Nothobranchius furzeri: one gene and its partners. The protein of the gene in region 1 purifies or fractionates together with the protein of each later gene. This does not show direct contact. Links are inferred from orthologs where the notes say so. Each region holds a gene or a part of one and is shown on either strand. Other genes may lie near its edges. The genes, in order: rbm17, cherp and sf3a2.

Region 1 (6,222 bases):
ATCTCATCACCATAGGTGAGTAATGGGATGTGAACCAATCACAAGGTCTTTTATATGGTTGAGAAAAAGCATCAACACATCTAACAAAACAAAGGATCCTCTTTAGGAGGTAGGCCATCTTATTGTTGAAAGACAACATAAAATACCTTCTTCGAGAGAACATGTTTGGTTTAGATATTCGCTGATTAAAGGGTCATTCAGCTCCGGAAAAAACAGAAATTTTAAAAGCTTATTATTTAATGAATCCTTCGAAAAACAAGAGACGTGTTCTATGTTAAGATCTGACATAACAATTCAATGCAAGTTTATTTATAAAGCGCCAAATCCCGACAAGAGTCGTCTCAAGGCACTTCACATAGTAAACATTCCAAAACAGGTCAGGTGATTAAGCCAATCAGTAAAACGTTTCTTTCGTAGGGAACCCAGCAGATTGGATCGAGTCACTGACAACAGCCTGGAGAGATAAACTGACTAGTCTGATTTAGCCAAACTTTTACGTTTTGGTTTTTCTGTCATGACTTTGATCTATTTCTTCACATTCCAGCTTCAACAATCAACCTGTTTCGATGATCTGAATTAAAGTGTTCCGGTGGGACGGCGCTGTTGAGGAGAACCCCCAGGGTCCCTTACATAAGGTTTGAATGAGGCTGAGGCTCACTGTCCTAGTCCCCTTCCTATATTCCAGCAGAGCTAAGTTGGGACTCACACCCTGGAGACATATTGAAACAATCACAGAAAGAGCATTATGTAACAAAATTCAAACAGGGAAACTGAGTTTCTTGGAAAGTGGGAGCTTCTGTCTTAGAGGATGTTTACATGACAAGTCTGGTTTTTGTTTCAGAATAAAACACTGATGAATAACACAGGCACAACACAAGGTACAACTTACACCTTTTATTTTCTCTCAACATGGAGGTATTTAACAAAAAAGACTCAACAGACACTAATGTTTGGAAAATATAGAAACAGACAATTTTGTACACATGAGAAGCTGAGGACAGCACAAGCCGATGTTCTTAGGGAAACATCAGACCTGCTCACCAAGATCCAAAACCCGAAACTTGTCTAGATTGTAGAAGCAGGCCTTGACGACTCGTCCTCCAAAATAACGTCCATTTAGATCCACAACAGCTGCAGAGGACACAGATGTAACATCAGACTACATGAGAGAAGCCACAATAATTTCAGATTTAAAAAAGAATAAAACATAGAGGAGTTTAAGTATCTCGGGTCTTGTTCACGAGTGAGGGTAGGAGGGATCGGGAGATCGACAGGCGGATTGGTTCGGCGTCTGCAGTCATGCGGACGCTGAGCCGATCTGTCGTGGGGAAGAGGGAGCTGAGCCAGAAAGCCAGGCTCTCGATTTACCGGTCGATCTACGTCCCAATCCTCACCTATGGTCATGAGCTTTGGGTAATGACCGAAAGAACGAGATCGCGGATACAAGCGGCCAAAATGAGTTTCCTCCGTAGGGTGGCCGGGCTCAGCCTTAGAGATAGGGTGAGGAGCTCGGACATTCGGGAGGGACTCGGAGTAGAACCGCTGCTCCTCCGGATCGAAAGGAGCCAGTTGAGGTGGTTTGGGCATCTGGTCAGGATGCCTCCTGGACGCCTCCCCGGGGAGGTGTTTCGGGCATGTCCTGCCGGCAGAAGGCCCCCGGGTCGACCCAGGACACGTTGGAGAGGTTACATCTCCAATCTGGTCCGGGAACGCCTTGGGGTCCTGCCGGAGGAGCTGGTGGACAAGGCCGGGGAGAGGACGGCCTGGAGCTCCCTAATTGGGATGCTGCCCCCGCGACCCGGACCCGGATAAGCGGAGGAAGATGAAGACGAAGACGATAAAACATAGCCATAAAGATCCAGGACCCAATTATTACTGGATTAAATCTACAAACACATGAAAAGTAGTTTAACAAAAGACTTGTCAACAATTACACTTCTCTGTTCTACTGACTAACATTAAGGCTAAATACGCCATCGGCAGTGATTTTAGGGTCATTCGATGTCAGATCATCTCGGTACCCATCCCCAATCCTGTGTTTCATGACCCCTAGTGGGGACCTGACCTCAGCTTTGATAACCGATGACAATAATACAAACTGAACTGTAAGCGTGGGTTAGACTAGACAGAAGGAATAAACCTGAGACTTAAGTGGGGAATGAAAACAAAAGAACCAAGTGGTAAAATAAGTTGAAGATTCTATTACCGCCATGATCCTAGCATGCATTAAGAGATTTCTCCACTTAGTAACCCTTTTTGTTGACAAAACCAATCTTGTAGCATGACAGGTTCTTTAACGGTGCGCCCTGCTTTCAGTAAGCTGTGATGTAAGACCGGTTCTGTTGGTGCCGTGGGGAGACGACTGGGTTGCTAGGCCACATATGACATAACACCACAGGGAACCGAGTCTCCCCTTGTTTCAGATCTGGGCCAACTCATTTAGAGAGGGACACACTTTCACCCACATTATTAGAGCAGCTACACAATCATGGGAAGAAAGTGAAGCAATTATGTAAAGTTGATCTCTTATATGTGACGGTGAACACTGACCTTTGATGGCCGACTCGACCCGCTCAAACTCCAGAAATATCCTGACGGCTTCATCATCTAGCACTTCTGCGATCTGAGGAGAAAAAACATCTTTCTCTGTCTCATCTGATCACTTTACCTCCATCTACTTGATCTTCATTCTTCTTACCTCAAAAATGACACATTTAACAACTTTGCCATATTTTTCACACTCTTCTTTTGTCTCTCCCTCCAAGTCTTCGTCCACTTCTCCCCGACCCACCATGTTCTACATAATAAACGGGGGAAAATAACTTTATTATCTAACTTCAAACTGCTTTGACTCTGGTTTTCTTTCAGCAGAGGTTAATTCCAACCATGCTTGAGAAATTAATGATGGTGTAACAAAGACATACCCTCAACAGAACCACTTTAGTTGGGTTTTTCAGGATCTCAGTGAGTGGATTGGCATCTGACTTCTTGGAAGGATCCACTGATCGGTAAAAACAAACATTAGTCACATTTTTTCATTCGCAAAACAATATTTACAGGCTGCAGGTATGCTGGAGAATGTGTGGAACAAAAGGTTAACCTAGAACATGCGATAAATGAAACCATTCAGTGTCTTGTGTACTTTTCCCATTTATTTTAGCCGTTAACGTCAGGATAAAGCGGTGGTTTTATTGTGTTAAGCACGACTGGCTCTAAATGGGTCATTCAGGAACAAAAATGCTGTTAATCTTCCAGGAAATCTGTTGGAAAATGGTACAAATGTCTTGTTCAAATATACAAATAAAAACCAAGAGTATGAAAGAATAATGTCAATAGTTTAGTAACAGCAACCATTCATGTGTTATCTCCATTTCCACTTTCTGTTAAAGGAGCCTTCTCTGTATTATATATATATATATATATATATATATATATATATATATATATATATATATATCCATCCATCCATCCATCCATCCATACGCTTATCCGGAGTTGGGTCACGAAGGCGAGAGGCCCAGACTTCCCTCTCCCCAGCCAATTGGGCCAGCACTTCCGGGAGAATCCCAAGGCGTTCCCTGGCCAGGTGAGAGACATAGTCCCTCCACCGTGTCCTGGGTCTACATTTAGGTCTCTTCCCGGTTGGACGTGCCCAGAAAACCTCACCAGGGAGGCGTCCAGGAGGCATCCTGACCAGATGCCCGAGCCACCCTTAACTGGCTCCTCTCGATGTGGAGGAACAGCGGGTCTACTCCGAGCCCCTCCCAGATGACCGAGCTTCTCACCCTATCTCTAAGGGAGAGCCCAGCCACTCTTCAGAGAAAACTCATTTCGGCCGCTTGTATCCGCGTTCTCGTTCTTTCGGTCACTACCCAAAACTCATGACCATAGGTGAGGGTAGGAATGTTGATCGACCGGTAAATCGAGAGCTTCGCCTTCCGACTCAGCTCTCTCTTCACCACGACAGACCGGTACAACGCCCGCATCACTGCAGATGCAGCACCAATCCGTCTATCGATCTCACGCTCCAGTTTTCCCTCACTCGTGAACAAGACCCTGAAATACTTAAACTCCTCCACTTGGGGCAGGACCTCATCCCTGACCCAGAGAAGGCATTCTACCCTTTTCGGAATCAAGACTATGGTCTCAGATTTAGAGGAGCTGATTCTCATCCCAGCTGCTTCACACTCGGCTGTGAACCGCTCCAGCGAAAGCTGAAGATCACGTTCTGATGAAGCCAACAGGACCACATCATCTGCAAAAAGCAGAGACCTGATCCTCAGGCCACCAAAATGGATGCCCCCCACACCTTGGCTGGGCATCAGCCTCCACTGTTGAGGCGGCCGACCGGAGCTGTGGTCGAAGGATCATCGGTGCCTGTCGTGGTGGCAACTCCCGAACCCGCTGGTGGACACCGGCAGTTAGGGATGCTGTCAAGCTGAAGAAAGAGTCCTATCAGGTATTTCTGGCCTGTGGGACTCCAGAGGCAGCTGACAGATACCGGCTAGGGCTGCAACAAACGATTATTTGGATAATCGATTAATCGGATGGGGTCTCGACACGATTAATCGGATTACATGGGGAAATTTTTAAAAACTGCTAGGGAAACGTTATTTCTCTCCTTCCTTCACTTTATTTAACACAACATTATTAGAAAACAGTTCAATAGCAGAAAAACAACATGCCATCACCTAAATTGTCTTATAAGGTGTATAGACAGAGACCCTAAGCTACATCTATCTGTGACCTAAAATGCTTGGTCCAAGTTAAACAGCTTAAGGGCAATTCTCATCTGTTTTGTTTGATCTCATCTGTTGACATTTATTTTAAATGTAATTAAACATAGGCTGTGAATTAATCAAAATTGATCACTATTTCCAAAAATGACTGAAAAAATACCAAATAAAACAAAAGTAAATGAATGCCATCCTCCTTGTGATGATGCCCTGGGCAACTGCCATAAAGTCACACCAAGAAATGCTGCTGATCATTCCAATGATCCCAAATAGACTCACATTAGGCCACATGAAAGCAACTGAACCCAAAAATATATTAACCAGTATATAACTGCACTCTCACACAACACGCCTGCAGCAACAGTTAGGACTCCTCCCTCCCTTTTAAAAGCGTTTTTGCTTCTGAGGACATTGTGGTTGTAAAACCACATGCTAGTAGTCTGGCCCCGGTGTGATCAACCAGTTTCTGCGGGAATGTGACGGCGGAACCAGGGCCAGATTAACACTTTGTTGTACCCTGGGCAACAATATTCAAGGGCTCCATCATCACGACCCAAGGAACACCATAATGTGGTCACATACAGAATATTTTACTGTAATATGCAGTAAATATACTCAATACTTGAATGCCTGACAACACGTAACCCGCCCAGAGTAACCTTTGACCCACCTCGTGTGGACTGACCAATGAGGAGAGGGTCTTAACTTGAGGCCCTCTCTTCATCGGTCAGTCTGCATGAGACTGACTCTCAACTGACGTTCAGTCGTAGGCAGCGAAGCGTCTCTGTGCAGTGCAAAAGCCCGGGTGGACAGTTTGTTTAATTAGGGTGACCATATTTCCATTTCCAAACAAGAGGACAGGGGATCTGTGCCTATAACGTCACACTATGGCAACGCCACACAAACCATGTTGGGACCCATTTTTTGTAAGAACTAAATTAATATCAGATTCTGCCAATTAAAGGGCTCTAAAACAATTCATATGTAAATATTTTGCGTATTTAATGCAAAATCTAATTTTTCTGCTTTAGTGCTGCAACAAGGTTTTATTAATAATAAATTATTATACCTTTTGTTTTACTACAGCATCGGTAAGCTTCCTGTGCACAGATTATTAAGGATGCTTGTTTCAGCTGTGAGATTAGACGATATGATCAATGAAAAAATAAGTTGTCACACACTCCATGGACACTTTCAGAGAATCCACAAATAGTGGCTTTCAAATGGTTTTGTTACTTTTTACAAGTTTATAAAAGAAGCAGAGGAGACAGCATGTCTGATAATTTAGTTTTTCATCTGATAATATTAGAACATGTCAGTAATGTCTGAGGGGCTTTTATAAACACCGTATAACTAACACTACTGGAGAGGGCATGAATTACACAGAGGCTTCTGGGGAGCCCAGTTATTGGGGGGGGGGGGGGGGGGGATTTTGCCTTGGCCCCCAAAATGTCTTGAAACGGCCCTGGGTGTGTGACTGAGTTTT
Region 2 (7,535 bases), on another chromosome or scaffold:
TACGTATATTTATATTTACCTCAGCAAAAGTATAAACTCCAACTACAAGTTGGTTTCCTGGGTGTTTACTCACTCAGATCAGAGGGGGTTGTTTTCAGCGCTCCTACCTCTATACGGGGATCCTGACAGTACTCTTTTAGTAGATCCAGAACCGCTAAATCACCAATCGCTCCCAGAGCTTCCCCTACGATCACAGAGTGACAAACAGAACGAGACGATCAGAGATGCTTTAATTTCTCATCCTTTTCTTTTATTCTGTCATGAACAAAGGCCGACTGGGTGAAAGTAGCTGTCATGGACACCACAAACATAGCATAACCATTTATGGAGATCCAGCAGCAGCTTAGATGTCAAATATTAACCATCCTCCTAAATATTAAAAACTAAATAAATCAAAACAGATTATGAACTGATTCTTAAAAGGATCCTTTTCTGCTAGCAAAGAAACGGTGAAAGGTTTTCAGCAGCAGGTAGGAGTGTACTTTGTTCCAGAAATTATCGGTTTTTATTGTAACAATTAGTTTGATATTGAGTCATTTCCTTGTGTGAGGCTGTTTACCTGCTTCATGCCTGACCATTGGCTCCTGATTTGTGTCTTTGAGAACATGGGTTAAAATGGGAACGGCTCTTTTGTCCTGCATCTGTCCCAGGCAGTAGGCCAGCTCGTGCTTCAGTAAGGCTGAATCATCAGTGAAGGCCTTGCTGATCCACTCGATCGCCTCAGCACCTGACAAAAACAACCTGAATCAGTCCGGCGTGCGGTTCTTTTCCAGCTGTGTGTTGGACCCTTTGATGTTAGAGAGAAATATTCTCTCGGGTTTTGTTTCAAAGCAGTTACGGTCCCAGTAGTCTGACTGTTATGATAACATAAAAAGCAGATGATCAGTAGATGAACAGCTGACATTATGGGATGGTTGATCTAGTCACAGTCATACAGTACCAATAACAAACATACTAAGGTAGTTCTTCATCACTAGAGGAAACCTGGAACATCCAGCATGGGTCTAATGAACCAACAAGTTCTTAAATATTTTGTAGTTAGTGGTTTTATTATTCGGTTTATGTGAGAAAGCATCAACCCAAAACCAGAAACACCCAGAAGACTTACCTCCCAGATTCCTCAGGGTGAACAAGGCTCTGAAGCGCTGGGTCAGGTTCCGTGCTGGGTCCACCAGGACTCGTCCTACCGCCGCTACCTGCTCCACGGTAGCCATGCTGCAGCCCAGAAACATACAGCCGTTACTCCGCTGTTGATCACCAGTTTAAACACCTACTGGGGAAACAGGTGAAGACCATTCTGACAATCAAATAATTACTTATTCCGTAGCTCTGTCAGAAAAGCCACTGTAACTTATCACCCAGCAGCACGTTTGTGCCCACTCACGGCTAATGGGGAGAGCACACCGTCAGCCAGCAGAGGCGCCGGTATCCGGTGGAAAACTATCACGTTTACCGTCTATAATTAAACGTTTATCACAAGCGACCAAGAAACAATCACAGAGATCTGCTGACAAGTTGAAGAAGGACAGTTGTATACAGACCCCACCGTGGCCGGAGAGTCTCACAGCGAAAAACGTCAGTTCTTCTTTAGCAGCGTTTAAACACCACGCTGGTGCATTACTGCCACCTAGTGGATTGGAGTGTGAGTGGTCAGTAGTTCATCCCTACTGCGTAAAGCTACGTTTATTTTTGTGTAAAACAAAATAGTGTCGAATATAAGTTTAAGACCCCTCGAAAACGGCAATTAAAATAAACAAATAAATAAATTACTTAATAAAATAATAATAATAATAATATAATTATTATTATTATTATTATTATTATTATTGTTGATGTTGATGATGTTATTATTATTATTATTGTTGTTGTTATTGTTATTATTATTGGGGGAAAGGAATGAGGTGGATAAATGTGAATCTTTATATACATTTTTTTAAATAAAATTTACATTAAAATGATTTTGCTTTGGACAGAAGTTGTTTAGTTTTGGTTATTTTCCTTCTGATGATGACACAGTGATTTATTTAATGGATTCTATGGTTGATGTTTACTCTGAGGGGCTAAAGCTGAAGCATGACTAAAGACAGAGCACATTCACAGTTTGTAAATCGTGACAAATGTTACTGAAAGGACTCAACCAAATTCTTTTCTACTAAAACTTTATTGATTTTAACATGGTTTTTCTTTCTTCATTCAGATAATCTGTATTCATCTCAGAGCTGCAGCCGTGCATCATCCTGTATGGGAAAGAAAGTTGTTTACTTTAGTTTTCTAACCAGGCACGCTTTAAAAATGAGATGTTGGAAGAAAAGCTAAGAAAGTTGTTTTGAATGAGTTTCTGGTTGAATCTGTTCACATTGAGATAAAACCATTTTTTCTTGACTGTTTCTGAAGCTGCTCAAAGGAAACCGTTCACTGTGCACTATACCTCACTTTTTGAAATTCGTTTCTAATTGTGATTCTGGTTGTTTAAAATGAACTGATTATTTGTACATCCTGTAAATTTGTGCCAATTTCACAAATTCACATGAACCTGCAAGGAAGGAATGTGTGATTTAACAAAATCTTGTTCAACTGGTATTATTTCCAGTTTAAATTGGTTTAATTCAGAGTTTACATATCAGTTGGATACAAAGGCACAACTCTTTAATCGTGTGATTTTCTTTGACAGTCGGACATGAATCTCCTTTTGTTATCATTCTGACAAAGAAAATGACATTTATGGTGAAGAGGAGAATCCTGGAAAGTCTGCATACGTCTGTTGATGCTGATGAACCGTGTGATCTCTGTCTACCAAGCCAGGTGATGAGCATCCAGCTGTGCAGGACACCATGCGATTGTGTGGAGGCAGTACCAGTGAGTTACTGAAGACTCAAATTGTACTTAGCAGGGTTGCCAAAAATGTCTAATGTATAAATTTGTAGTTACATACTGCAGTCAGCAATGTGCACAGCAAAATCTGTCAGAAAATAATTAAAATCATCCAAGAAAATTTCTGTCTCATTCTGTTTGGTTGTTACATGAGAAATTTATTTTGGACTCATTTGGGTTCACCTCTAAATCCTATTTTCAAGTTTTCAACTTCTGATGAACTTCAGAAACCAAAACTGACTGAGGGGTGATGTTTTGTGAGAAACGGCACTCCAGATGAGTGATTACTTCAACAATAGTTTCTCCGTGAGTCGAAATTTTAAGTTTATTGTTAATTTCTAGGTATTCTTATATTTTTCATGAATCCTCAGTTTTACGATCTGCAATGGTATCTTTTTCATTCAGTATTATCTGGAAACTTTCCAGATCTGATAGCTTTGAAATGTAATTGGCTAAGGCCACAAAGCAACATGAAATTTATGAAAATCTTCAAAACCAGTTCAAAACTCCCAATATGCGGTCGTTTCCCCTCCTACACCTAGGGGGTGCTATGTGCAGTCAGACTGCAGTTTTCAGCTGGGCCCGCGCTGTTTCTACTTACAATTTCCGGTATTTTGCAGGGTCAAACGACGCCAATGTTTCTGTGAGGACAATTTGATAAAAGGCTAAAACACAAATTAAATATTAACATATTTGTGTCCGATATATATACTGGCCGGTGTTTATACACATTCTGAGTGATCATAACGTCATGGAAATCCCCAATCCGCCTGAAGGTGAGCGGAAGCCCGCTGCGTTTCTAATTTGATTCAGCGTGATGCTATTTTGCTCAGCTAACGTTAGCTTACCTTACAGTTAGCTTGAGACAGCATTTAATTGATATTATGCAATTTTTTCAGGTCCAGGTTACATTGAAGCTTTGTTATAATAAATTAGAAACATTTAGTCAGCCGTAATTACATTTCAATGTTTACGTTTTAGTGGAATTAACTTTCCTGGTTGCTAACATTTTCAGTAAAATCCCGATTAATCCAGAGAAGTGAGGTAACTGTGTGTCGAACCAAATTTGTATATCTTTTCAACCTCGTTCCTAAAGTATCCTTACACGAGAAACCAAACCTCAGTAGCAGCAGCAGAGAGGAAATAGTTTTTAATATTTTGCGCAAGTTGGTGTTTGATCCTTGGGGTTACACAGAACCGAGTCTGGGTCAGATGCCTCAGTTCTGCTTCTCCGGTTTAATGTTGGTAAAAAAATTAAGTTTAATTGTTTTTAGGATTTCAAACATAAAATATCATTTGACATTTTAGTGTAAATCATAGTTAAATCTTTGTTTGGTCTTTTTAACCCAAATTCTTCATTTCAGATCAGGAACTGAGGAATGTGATTGACAAACTTGCACAGTTTGTTGCACGAAATGGTCCGGAGTTTGAAAAGATGACGATGGAGAAACAGAAGGACAACCCCAAGTTTTCCTTTCTTTTTGGTGGAGATTACTTCAGCTACTACAAGTGCAGACTTGCAATGGAGCAACAACAACGTACGTAGTGAAAAGGACTGTCCACCAGTTTGGCAGCCACAAACATGTTCAAGCACACCGTCTCAGGCTGGACATGCAGACCACCAAGTTACAGTGTTCTTCGTGGCTTCGTTCAGTCTCATTTTAGAAAAAAGAGCCATCATGCGATTGAATTAGCTAGACATGACATTTTAGACTTTGAAGATATTTGTTTTGTTTTCAGGCGAATTTCCTTGTTTTGAGATCTTATTGTGTCATCTTAGCTGTATCTCCATGATGGGGCTGATGAAAATCCTTCATAATGATGGCCTTTTGGCAGTTTGAGCAGTTCATGGATTATCTGTGCCTGAGCTTCAGCTGCATACATTATTGAAGTTTTTGATTTAAGTCCCCCAAACCTTCTGACTTGAGTTTATGGTTCTTCCTCCTGGTGTTTTGTAGATATATTCATCCCCACTGCCAAAGATGTGGCGGACCTCCCTCCTTTGTCAATTCAGATGATTGCTCCACCTACAGTTCCTCCACCAGCTGCACCCCCTGTCGATGAGCTCATCCAACAGAGCCAGTGGAATATGCAGCAGCAGGAGCAACACCTGCACACACTAAGACAGGTGCAAAGAACAGATCCTCTTGTTTTCAAGCGACGCACAAAGATTGTAGAAGATTACTTTTATATGTCTGAGTGTCAAACAGTAGCTGGCAGATGTATCATGTTGTAAAAGAGGAAAAAGTTGTTTTTTAAAGACACCAAACACATTTCACTGGCTGTAGTACTCGTTTCAGTAGCAAACGTAACACCTGCTACATTCACAGAAACATTGCTAGAAAAGAAATTTGAAATAATATAATTAATTTATTAATTTTTCCATAGGAACAAGTAACCGCTGCCATCGCCTTGGCTATGGAGCAACAGACCCAGAAGCTTCTGCTTGAAACCCAGTTGGACATCACAGAGTTCGACAACCTGCTGCAGCCAATCATAGACACCTGCACCAAAGATGCCATCTCGGTAAGCATGTTACCACGGAGACCATGCCTTGCGTAGACTTGGACATCCCACTATTTCTCCTCTTTGACTCAGGCTGGTAAGAATTGGATGTTCACCAATGCCAAGACTCTGCAGCACTGTGAGCTGATGGCGTCGCATCTTCGGAACCGCATCACTGTTGACGACGCTCATTTTGAACTCCGCCTTCACCTCATTTACTTAACCAATGATGTTCTTCACCACTGGTAAACAAAACCTTCCTAAAACCTCACCCATCAGATGCATGATGTCATCTTGCCAACAGATGTTCTCTTCTAACTCCTTTAGCAGAAACTTCAGATTTAGTTAAAAGTCCCAGATTAATTCTCTTTGGAGTCGTTAAAACTTTAAATTCCGTTAGAAGTTTTATTTCTGCTGGTCAGCTGTTCCAAACTTGAGGAGCTTGTCGTCCGTCTCTGGTTTACAGCCTCTGCTAAATGTACTTCTGGATTTTAACATCGCTGTATGACCTCAGATGACGCATCAGAATTTTTTTTTAACGATGATTTTGGTATTGTAAAAAACATTTCTATAAATGAATAATTAAACAATTTAAAATAATTACACAATAAAAGCTGGTATACTGTGACACAAACATCAATCTTGGTTTTAAAAACAATTCATGTGTAGAACTCCGTCCTTGGTGATAAAAGTAAATATGATTTTGTTGTTTCTGTAATGTGATCTGCTTTATGTTGACTCACAGCCAGCGGAAGCAGCAGAAGGATTTATTGACAGCTCTGCAGAAGGTCGTTGTTCCCATCTACTGTACCAGCTTTCTTGCAGTAGAAGAAGAAAAGCAGCAGAAGATTACCCGGGTAACACTTCTTGGGACTTATTTTCAGATGAAAATGTCTCTTCCACAAAATGTTGAACATCATTGTTTCCTTACAGTTGTTGCAGCTATGGGAGAAGAACGGCTACTTTGATGAGGAGACCATTCAGCAGCTCCAGAATCCAGCGTTGGGCCTTGGACAGTACCAGGTGTGTAGAGAAAACACAAAGTCGGTGTAGGTAGGTAGGTAGGTAGGTAGGTAGTAGGGTTGTCACGGTATGAAAATTTAACCTCACGGTTATTGTGACCAAAATTATCACGGTTTTCGGTATTATCGCGGTATTTTTTAAACGGTGTTGCATATGTTCAGAAAGCATTGATAGTCCTGTTCTACACAAACTGAAATAGTTCTGAAAAGGTTTAACAGTATTTATTAAACCTAAAATAACACAAAGCCTTAGCAAAAGTGCAACTTTTCACAAGTAAAGGAACAAATAGCTTATTTTTCTGGAACATGTTACAGTAGTCAGTGCAGGTTTAAATTATACAAATCCAAACATTCAAAACATAAACAATATGTAAACAAATCAAAGAAACACCACTTGTTTTCTCATATACTTGTTTTCTTCATTATCAAAATGAAAATCTAAAACTCCAGTCCACACTTGACTTGAGCACTGTACAAGTCAACCTTAAAAAATATGTATTTAAAATAAATAGCCACTTTAAACAAATTACTAAAATAACTACTACACTATGTAATCAAATCCAAATGTTCAAGTATAAATGGCATTGAATAAGTAAACAAATCAATGACAAGGAACTAATTGTATATTTCTCTTCATCATCAACAAATAAGATGCTTCATCCAGCAACAGGGTGTCCGTGACACGGTTTAAATGCTGGCAGAGGACGCTGCGGCTGCAGTCTATAGTGACTCGTTGCATTCTCCCTCAACCAAAAGTCCTCACGTCATGCATTTCAGCTAAAATGCTAATGTTATCTTACCTTGCACTGGCTGTAGAGACGTGGGTGATCGTCACGCAGATGTGCCATTAGATTCGAAGTGTTGCTGCCTTCTGCAGACACTTGTTTCCTGCACGTTCTGCAAACGGGATAGCCGTCTTCTATTAACTGTCCCTCAGCATTTTTCAGAAATCCCAAATATGCCCATACTTCCGATTTAGTCTTCTTTGAGGGCTGATGGATGTCCTGGGCGCTGCCGTCGCCTCCTTCGGCCATTATTTCAGCTTCAAAGTTTTGGTGCTGTTGCAAATTAAAAAGTGCGTGTGCGCGCCGCGGGAACTTCAGCTGAAGCGACGGTGGCTGGTAAGGGTCATCGCGC
Region 3 (7,613 bases), on another chromosome or scaffold:
TGCATTTGAATTTAAATCTGCCATCCCTATTGGCTAAGAGGTACCTTAAAACGTTAGCTGGTACCATATGATGTCACAATGTCGTTGTGAGCCTGTGTGTGTGTGCGTGTGCGTGTGTGTGTGGATTTGTTAGTGGCCCCGCCCTCTCAGTCTGCTAGGCAACAGCATTTGTTGCATTTGACCAAACAGGAAGTGGGAGTGGAGTAATACTTTGGTAGGGGGTGACTTGCTCTTTAAACAGCAGATCACAGCAAAAAGGAAAATTAAAAAGTCTGTTTTACCTTGCTTTAATAATAGAGTCTATCCACTCCTTACATTGCTCCTCGGAGTTGCACTCAAACACGTATTTTTTCTCAGTTTCATCTAGAAATGCTACAGAGAGACAAACACAACATTAACAAAATGTCACCGCCAATCAGCCTGTAAGAAATCAACACAGAAAGGGAGTCTGGGGCTCACTAATAGAGAAGGTCTGACTGTCCTCTTTCTCCACCCGGCACTGCTCCAACAACAAGGCTCCAATTGGCTGAAAAATAAACACTGAACTCATTAAAATGTTACAGCTCATCATCAGGGACAGAGAAAAAAAACTCATCTAACCTCCTCCTCATCTGTCCGGAAGTAAAAAAGGAAGTTAACTACGAGTTTCACCAGCCGCCTCTTGACAACTGAAAACACACACGCACGCGCGTACACGTACACACACAGAGAGAGAGAGAGAGAGAGAGAGAGAGAGAGAGAGAGAGAGAGAGAGAGAGAGAGAGAGAGAGAGAGAGAGAGAGAGAGAGAGAGATGATCAGTTTCACCGATATGACCCAAAATAACACCAAGCGGAAGTGAAAAGTGACGGAGAAAGTAACAGGTCTTACCGTCTCCTTTCTTCGGACCTCGCATTCCCATTTCAGCGGCCATCTCTGAAGGCTGGCGGCTCAGAGAGACCAGCTCCCTCTCGTTGAAACGCATCGCGTAAAATGGGAGGGGGGACACCTTTGCTAGTCTCTACGACCAAAACATTTCAAATAGAGTTAAAATAATAATATAAATGCAGTAGTTTCGTTGTTTATCATGTCGACTTATTCTGATTCTTTATCCGATGTCCTGAAAACGTGATGGAGAGTGTTTGGTTATTTCCAGGGTGAAGTAAAGTCAAGTGAACGGCATCTGCTAAACAAACAGGAAACGCTGATCGGTTCTTCTTCTAGTGGAGAGTTTAACGGTGCTTGTTAAACCAAATAGAAATACGCTTTCGCCACCTAGTGGGCTAACGCTTAAATGGCTCGTAAGAGCGAGGAGTTGCATGATGTCTGGATAGATAACTTTATAAACGTTCACTGATTAATATTAAAACTTTATGTTCCTCAAATACATTAAATATATGTTTGAGTGCTTCTGACTGAACAATAAACATTTACTCATTACTTGAGGTAGTTTTTGTCCCGTGCCCTGCAACTACAAAATAATTTTTCTAGTTTTTCCTATTGTTTTATAAACATTGAATTATAAATTACTTTATTTTCTTACAGGACTTACTATTTTCTTTTGTTAAACCGTGGCACATATAGCAAAATATTTCCTGAAGTATTTTAAAATGAAAATAATTATTACATTTTAGAAAAAAATCAAACATCACTCTGTTCAGGTTATGTTCTTCTTTTTCTTAACTGAAAAGTACTACTATGCCACGACAAAACGTTGCAGTATAAAAATTGATTCGCAAAATAATATTGCAAGACTTAAAATGAAGCACATTGATTTAAAAATCCATGATTGGGAGAAAAGAGTATTGAAAAGATTCCTTGTTAAATTAAATAACTGGAATAACACCAAATGTTGAACTGGTTGGTTTTATGCCTGTTTAAACTGCTGATACTAGCTCATCAAATTCAAAGCTCGTGCTCCATGAGAGCTAAGTGTAGTGAAAAATGGGTTTAGCAAAATTGACAAAGCAAAAGCATCCATCTGTTTTCTTCTGCTTATATGGAGTCAGCTTGTGGGGGCAGCAGCCTAAGCTAAGAGGCCCTCCCCAGGTTGGGCCAGCTCCTCCAGGGGAATCCCAAGGCGTTCCCTTGCCATTCGTGTGACATAGTCCCTCCAACATGTCCTGGGTCTTCTTTAGGTCTCCTCCAGGTTGGACATGCTCAGAAAACCTCACCATGGAGGCATCTAGGAGGCATCCTAATCAGATGCCTGAGCCACCTCAACTGGCTCCTCTACACCGAGCCCCTCCGGATGACTGAACTTCTCACCCTATCTCTAAGTGAGAGCCCAGAAACCCTGCAGAGAAAACTAATTTTGGCTTCTTGTATCTGCAATCTCGTTCTTTTGGTCACTACCCAAAGCTCATGACTAAAGGTGAGGGTAGGAACATAGATCGGCCGGTAAATCGAGAGCTTCGCCTTCTGGCTCAGCTCTCTCTTCACTACGACAGATCGGTACAACGTCCGCATTACTGCAGACACGATCTCATCCCACCTGTAAATCTCACTCGCCATCTTTCCCTCACTCGTGAACAAGACCCTGAGATGTATAAACTCCTCCACTTGGGGCAGGATCTCATCCCTGGACCCAGAGAAGGCATTCTACCCTTTTCTGACTCAGGACCATAGTCTCGGATTTAGAGGAGCTGATGCTCATCCCAGCTGCTTCACATTCGTTTGTGAACTGCTCCAGTGAGAGACGGAGATCACGTTCTGATGAAGCCATCAGGACCATGTCATCTGCAAAAAGCAGAGACCCCATCCTTAGGCCACCAAAATGAATGCCTTCAACACTTTGGCTGTGCCTCGAAATTCTCCATAAAAGTTATGAATAGAATTGGTGACAAAGGGCAGCCTTGGCAGAGTCAACCTCTCACCGGAAACGAACCCGGCCTACTGCTGGCAATGCGGACCAAGCACTGACACCAGTCATATAGGGACCTTACAGCCCCTATCAGAGGGCCTGGTACCCCATACTCCCAAAGTACCCCCACAGGGTCCCCCGAGAGATGCGGTCCAACACCTTGTCTAAATCTACAATTAGTTTAAATCCAGACCCTAAAAGTGAAAGCAACAAAATCAATAAAAGTTGGGAAACAAAACCATAGCAAAAGAAATAATACAAACAATTGATCCAAAATTAAAGAGAACATATTAAATAAATAAACAAAAATGCAAATGTTTCATATCGTTTTTTTAATTTATTTTTCACATTTTAAATGTAGCCCTTTACTCCTAAATAAACTAATCTCTTAGGTCTTTATTATATGCTTTTATCCGCAAACGTTTGTTCGTCGGTCAGTTTTACTCCTGACCACTAGATGGCAATGAATGTTTGAAACTATTTATGAACTGCTTAAGCTGAGAACCAACACGCATGCGCAAAACAATTCTGTCCATCACAGTTTGTCGTTAGATTTGTTTGGGAGAACGTAAGTTTATTTATAATATTTAGCTAGTATTTTGTTGTGCAGTTCGCTGAGCAGTAACGCTAAAACATTGATTAGGCTATATTTAATTTCATTCTGATAGTTTGTTCATTTTGGTAGGTTTAAAACTATCCTTGCATATATGGTAGCACTGTTAGCATTGTCAGAACGACGTCCATCGATGCTAAATGCTAACAGTAAAATGTGCGCGAAAGGATAGTTCAATATAGGGATTTTCTAGTTATGTTATTAAAAATTAAGACGTTTCAACCTAGAATCATGACAAATTGATAAATTGATGAAAGGGGTGTCGGGAAGAAAGTCTTTATGATTTGAGTTATAGATTTAACACATACACGCATACATACATATACAGTCCTGACTAATGTTCACTATTAATACTACATTTAAGGAACTGTGCCGCTCAGATATTCATTCTGGCTGCTGTAACACATAGCGTTACCATTTTATCAGCAATTATATGAAAGTTGTTGAATTTATATTTATGATAGTGTTACTACGTGCATACTGCTTTGTACAGTACTTATAGTTGTGAATGTTTTCTACATTTGAAATAGCATATGTTTCTCAGTTTTATAGGGATGGTAAAAATAAAACACCAGGGGTTCAGTTTTAACTGAACTGGCTTTTTCTGTTTTTTGTTTTGTGTTTATTTGAAGAAATACACGATACATTATGTTTGGTCTGTCCCTTTGATGCTATATGTTTATGTTGTCTTTAGACTGAGTTCATCACTTCAAAAAAATGGATTTCCAGCATCGAGCTGGAGGGAAGACTGGAAGTGGAGGGGTGGCGTCTGCCTCTGAGAGTAACCGGGACAGGCGTGAACGGTTACGTCAGCTGGCTCTAGAGACCATCGACATCAACAAGGACCCCTATTTTATGAAGAATCATTTAGGTTCTTATGAATGCAAACTTTGTTTGACACTTCACAACAATGAGGTGAGGAGGCACTTAACGGATTGGATTGGGCTATGTTAGAATTTTTGATATTTGGGAATTGTGTTTCTAAAGAAAACCCTCTACTTGATTTTAGGGCAGCTACTTGGCTCACACACAGGGAAAGAAGCATCAGACCAATTTGTAAGTCAACCTAAAACATTCTCTAACACAATTAATTGCTACTAGTTCAATATTTGTCAGTAAACATTTTCCTGTATAATTTTTTCTTTCTGAGTTAAATCTTTTCTATTTGGTGTTTTAGAGCACGAAGAGCAGCCAAAGAGGCAAAAGAAGCGCCGGCTCAACCAGCTCCAGCAAAGGTTAAAGTTGAGGTCAAGAAGTTTGTCAAAATCGGTCGACCAGGATACAAAGGTACACTGGCTGCATGGTTCTATATTAGATCAACATTATTTGGCTTTTTGTAACAACTTTTGATCCTCGTCTTTCTCTTTTTTTCACAGTGACAAAACAGAGGGACCCAGAGACTGGTCAGCAGTCTTTACTTTTTCAGGTGAAAATAAAAAATATATTTTAATTCTGGAAAAATCCTGCTGTGTTTCTGGGAATCTGAGACACTTGATAATAGGCTTTATGCTTTATTGTTCGTGTGAAACCAAAGTTAAATGCCATCATATGTTTAGCTCCACTTTAATTATTTTCCAGCCCAATATAACAGTTTTGCTCCCATTGTATGACCCCATTGTGGACACCACTTGAAGATGCGTTGCAGATACAAAACAAACTCCTATAGTTCCTATCAGGGCAATAATAACCAGATGTTACAACATCTGACAAGTTGTTTTTATTTCCCATATTAATCAGATCGACTATCCAGAGGTTGCTGAAGGAATTGGACCCAGGCACCGTTTCATGTCTGCTTATGAGCAGCGTATCGAGCCTCCTGACCGTCGCTGGCAGTACCTGCTGTTTGCTGCTGAACCATATGAAACTATTTCCTTTAAGGTGGATGAAAACTGTAATTTTTGTCATTGTGCTCATGTGTCACATTTCCGTAACATTAAAATGTTTGCTCCTTTAAGGTCCCCAGCAGGGAAATTGATAAAGCAGAAAACCGCTTCTGGACTCACTGGAACAGGGAAACTAAACAGGTACTGACTCTGCTTTGTTTTTACTAAAAAACTAATTTAAAAAATTTTCTAATGTATGAATGTTTTGTTTTCGTTCAGTTTTTCCTGCAGTTCCACTTTAAAATGGAGAAAGCCATTTCTGGTGGTCCAGCTCCTCCTGGCAACTTAAAGCACCCCGCTTCACTTATGAGTGGCCACCCATCAAACGACGGTCTTCCACCTCCACCACCAGGAGGGATGTCTGTTCCTCCTCTGCCACCCGGGGCACCAGGTCCCCCCCAAATGCCCCCACAAATGCCCATGCCCCCCATGCCAATGAGGCCACCTCCCCCAGAGGGCCTTATGCAGTGATAATTTGCTGTTAGAAATTGCATTGGTGGTCAGTTGTTCTGCTCTGCCTGTTTTGTATTTTTAGGATGTTGGATATCTTCAGTAGATTTTCATAACTTTGTTTGCCTAAAAATAAAATTCTAAAGCTAAATGTTATGGAAACATTATCGTCCTCTTGTAAACTAATATCTGGACACATTTTTATTTCTTATGTCCATTTTTTAATTAAAATACACAAATACTGAAAATACCTGAGTGTTTGTTCTACAAAAAATACAGAGAATTATCTGAAGTTTACTCTGATCAGGTTAAAATAAAACAAATCAACAAAATTGATTTTTCTGTATTTAAATTGATCTTCAACACTGCCTAAATCAGTTTGAATTATATTTTAACAGCAGTTTTCATTTTGGTATCAATTATTCAGACTATGTATTCAGTGTATGTACTCATAAAATCTTTTTAAAATAAAATGTTTTAATTTTATGAACTTCTGCTGAACACACAGATGTTTTATTTTTTTGTGACCCAAGTTTCCAGGGGTGACCATGACCCCAATTGGAAACCTTTTGAGGACTGTTGGTAATCACAAACTATGGATTAGAGAACATTCTCAAAAAAATTTGATGTGCTCCACGCCAAATATCATTCAAGAGTTTCTTTGTCCTGTGTCTGTGGACACTCCAGTCTGCTGCAATGAAGACCTCTGAAGATATCCATCAGCATTGCTTTCTCTGGCAGAAGACTTTCGAAGATGCTCCATGGCATTGCAAAAGTGTTCGCCTTACCCTTCGCTGCCACTGGCCCAGTTTGGAGCCTTTGTTTGGGCATTTCACCTCGGAGATGTGACAAACTGAATTTATGTTTATGTATTTAGCAGAATTTGTATAATGTTTCATACAATCTATTTGTAAGAATCGTTAATCACGATTTTTGTAGCTCATGTTTGCAGTAGATTTTCTGCCTTACACGAGTAACCAACGGGGGGCGCTCTAGAGTCGTTTACAGCATTTGCCCCATTTAATCACAAGTGGGGGATGAAATTATGTTTCTAGTTAGGCACATCTATTTAACAATATGCGCACAGTTTAACCTGACTACGTTTTTTTTTATTCTGACAGCGTCCGTACCTCATATTTTGTCAATATATTTTGACATGTTCTGATATATTTTTTGTAAAGGAGGCTGACCTATATAATTGTAAAATACCAGACAATTAACGAATATTAGCCTGCGTGGCTTATCATTTCAAGGCCTGGGTGCGGTTTACACATCGCACCAGCCACGCCTTTTCCTGTCACAACGGAACAGTCGTTCGTAAAGACGGCGGGTCAGCTGACAGGCATCAGCGGACCGGGGGAAGGAAGAAGCGGAATTTGCGGCTGTGAGCAGGGATTCTGTTGGACATAAAATACACCCAAAGGCTAGCCTGGAAGCCAAAGAGTGGTGGTGTTCGTGAAAGAACAAGAGTAAGTTAACGAAACGGAGATTCAGTCATGTATTTTTGCAGTAAAAACGATTTACTGTGATCTGTAAACCGCCAGAGAAAACAGGTGAGCGCTCTCTTTCGTTGACGACGCTAACATTAGCAACTCCTCAGCTAACCGCGGCTAGTTAACGTCAAGCTAGCCGCGGTTAGCTTGATGATAACGGAAAGCATGCTTTAAGATTCCTTCAAAGCTTAAAACGTGCCATCACATAACATTTTGATGCTGTTTTAGTTGGTTTGTTATGTAATTCATATCGTTTACACGTAAGTCACTGTAACTTGCTGTAACACACGCGATAACCTCAGTTTTTCTACCCACCGGAAGCCCGTTAAAAAT

The links.
Region 2: the proteins of rbm17 (region 1) and cherp purify together in Homo sapiens (co-immunoprecipitation; 4 studies listed by BioGRID and IntAct, counting the BioPlex papers as one, with this or other methods). This does not show direct contact. The link is inferred for Nothobranchius furzeri from reciprocal best matches to the Homo sapiens genes RBM17 and CHERP.
Region 3: the proteins of rbm17 (region 1) and sf3a2 purify together in Homo sapiens (affinity purification with mass spectrometry; 4 studies listed by BioGRID and IntAct, counting the BioPlex papers as one, with this or other methods). This does not show direct contact. The link is inferred for Nothobranchius furzeri from reciprocal best matches to the Homo sapiens genes RBM17 and SF3A2.

What each region holds. Positions count from the first base shown.
Region 1 is NC_091741.1:60,738,057-60,744,278, forward strand, and holds the end of rbm17 (splicing factor 45), read right to left. Parts: intron 3,002-6,222; coding exon 2,925-3,001; intron 2,798-2,924; coding exon 2,699-2,797; intron 2,624-2,698; coding exon 2,551-2,623; intron 1,132-2,550; coding exon 1,028-1,131; 3' UTR 880-1,027; downstream 1-879. UniProt on the Homo sapiens protein: Splice factor that binds to the single-stranded 3'AG at the exon/intron border and promotes its utilization in the second catalytic step. Involved in the regulation of alternative splicing and the utilization of cryptic splice sites.
Region 2 is NC_091756.1:55,801,148-55,808,682, forward strand, and holds the start of cherp (calcium homeostasis endoplasmic reticulum protein), read left to right. Parts: upstream 1-3,476; 5' UTR 3,477-3,622; coding exon 3,623-3,647; intron 3,648-4,235; coding exon 4,236-4,409; intron 4,410-4,829; coding exon 4,830-4,999; intron 5,000-5,259; coding exon 5,260-5,397; intron 5,398-5,469; coding exon 5,470-5,621; intron 5,622-6,121; coding exon 6,122-6,233; intron 6,234-6,309; coding exon 6,310-6,399; intron 6,400-7,535. Other genes in the region: dohh (deoxyhypusine hydroxylase), read right to left, coding at 108-184, 560-727, 1,109-1,232. UniProt on the Homo sapiens protein: Involved in calcium homeostasis, growth and proliferation.
Region 3 is NC_091751.1:56,889,731-56,897,343, forward strand, and holds sf3a2 (splicing factor 3A subunit 2), read left to right. Parts: upstream 1-3,320; 5' UTR 3,321-3,409; intron 3,410-4,148; 5' UTR 4,149-4,171; coding exon 4,172-4,369; intron 4,370-4,463; coding exon 4,464-4,510; intron 4,511-4,631; coding exon 4,632-4,741; intron 4,742-4,830; coding exon 4,831-4,880; intron 4,881-5,191; coding exon 5,192-5,332; intron 5,333-5,409; coding exon 5,410-5,478; intron 5,479-5,556; coding exon 5,557-5,808; 3' UTR 5,809-6,035; downstream 6,036-7,613. Other genes in the region: plekhj1 (pleckstrin homology domain-containing family J member 1), read right to left, coding at 282-372, 460-526, 601-668, 870-963. UniProt on the Homo sapiens protein: Component of the 17S U2 SnRNP complex of the spliceosome, a large ribonucleoprotein complex that removes introns from transcribed pre-mRNAs.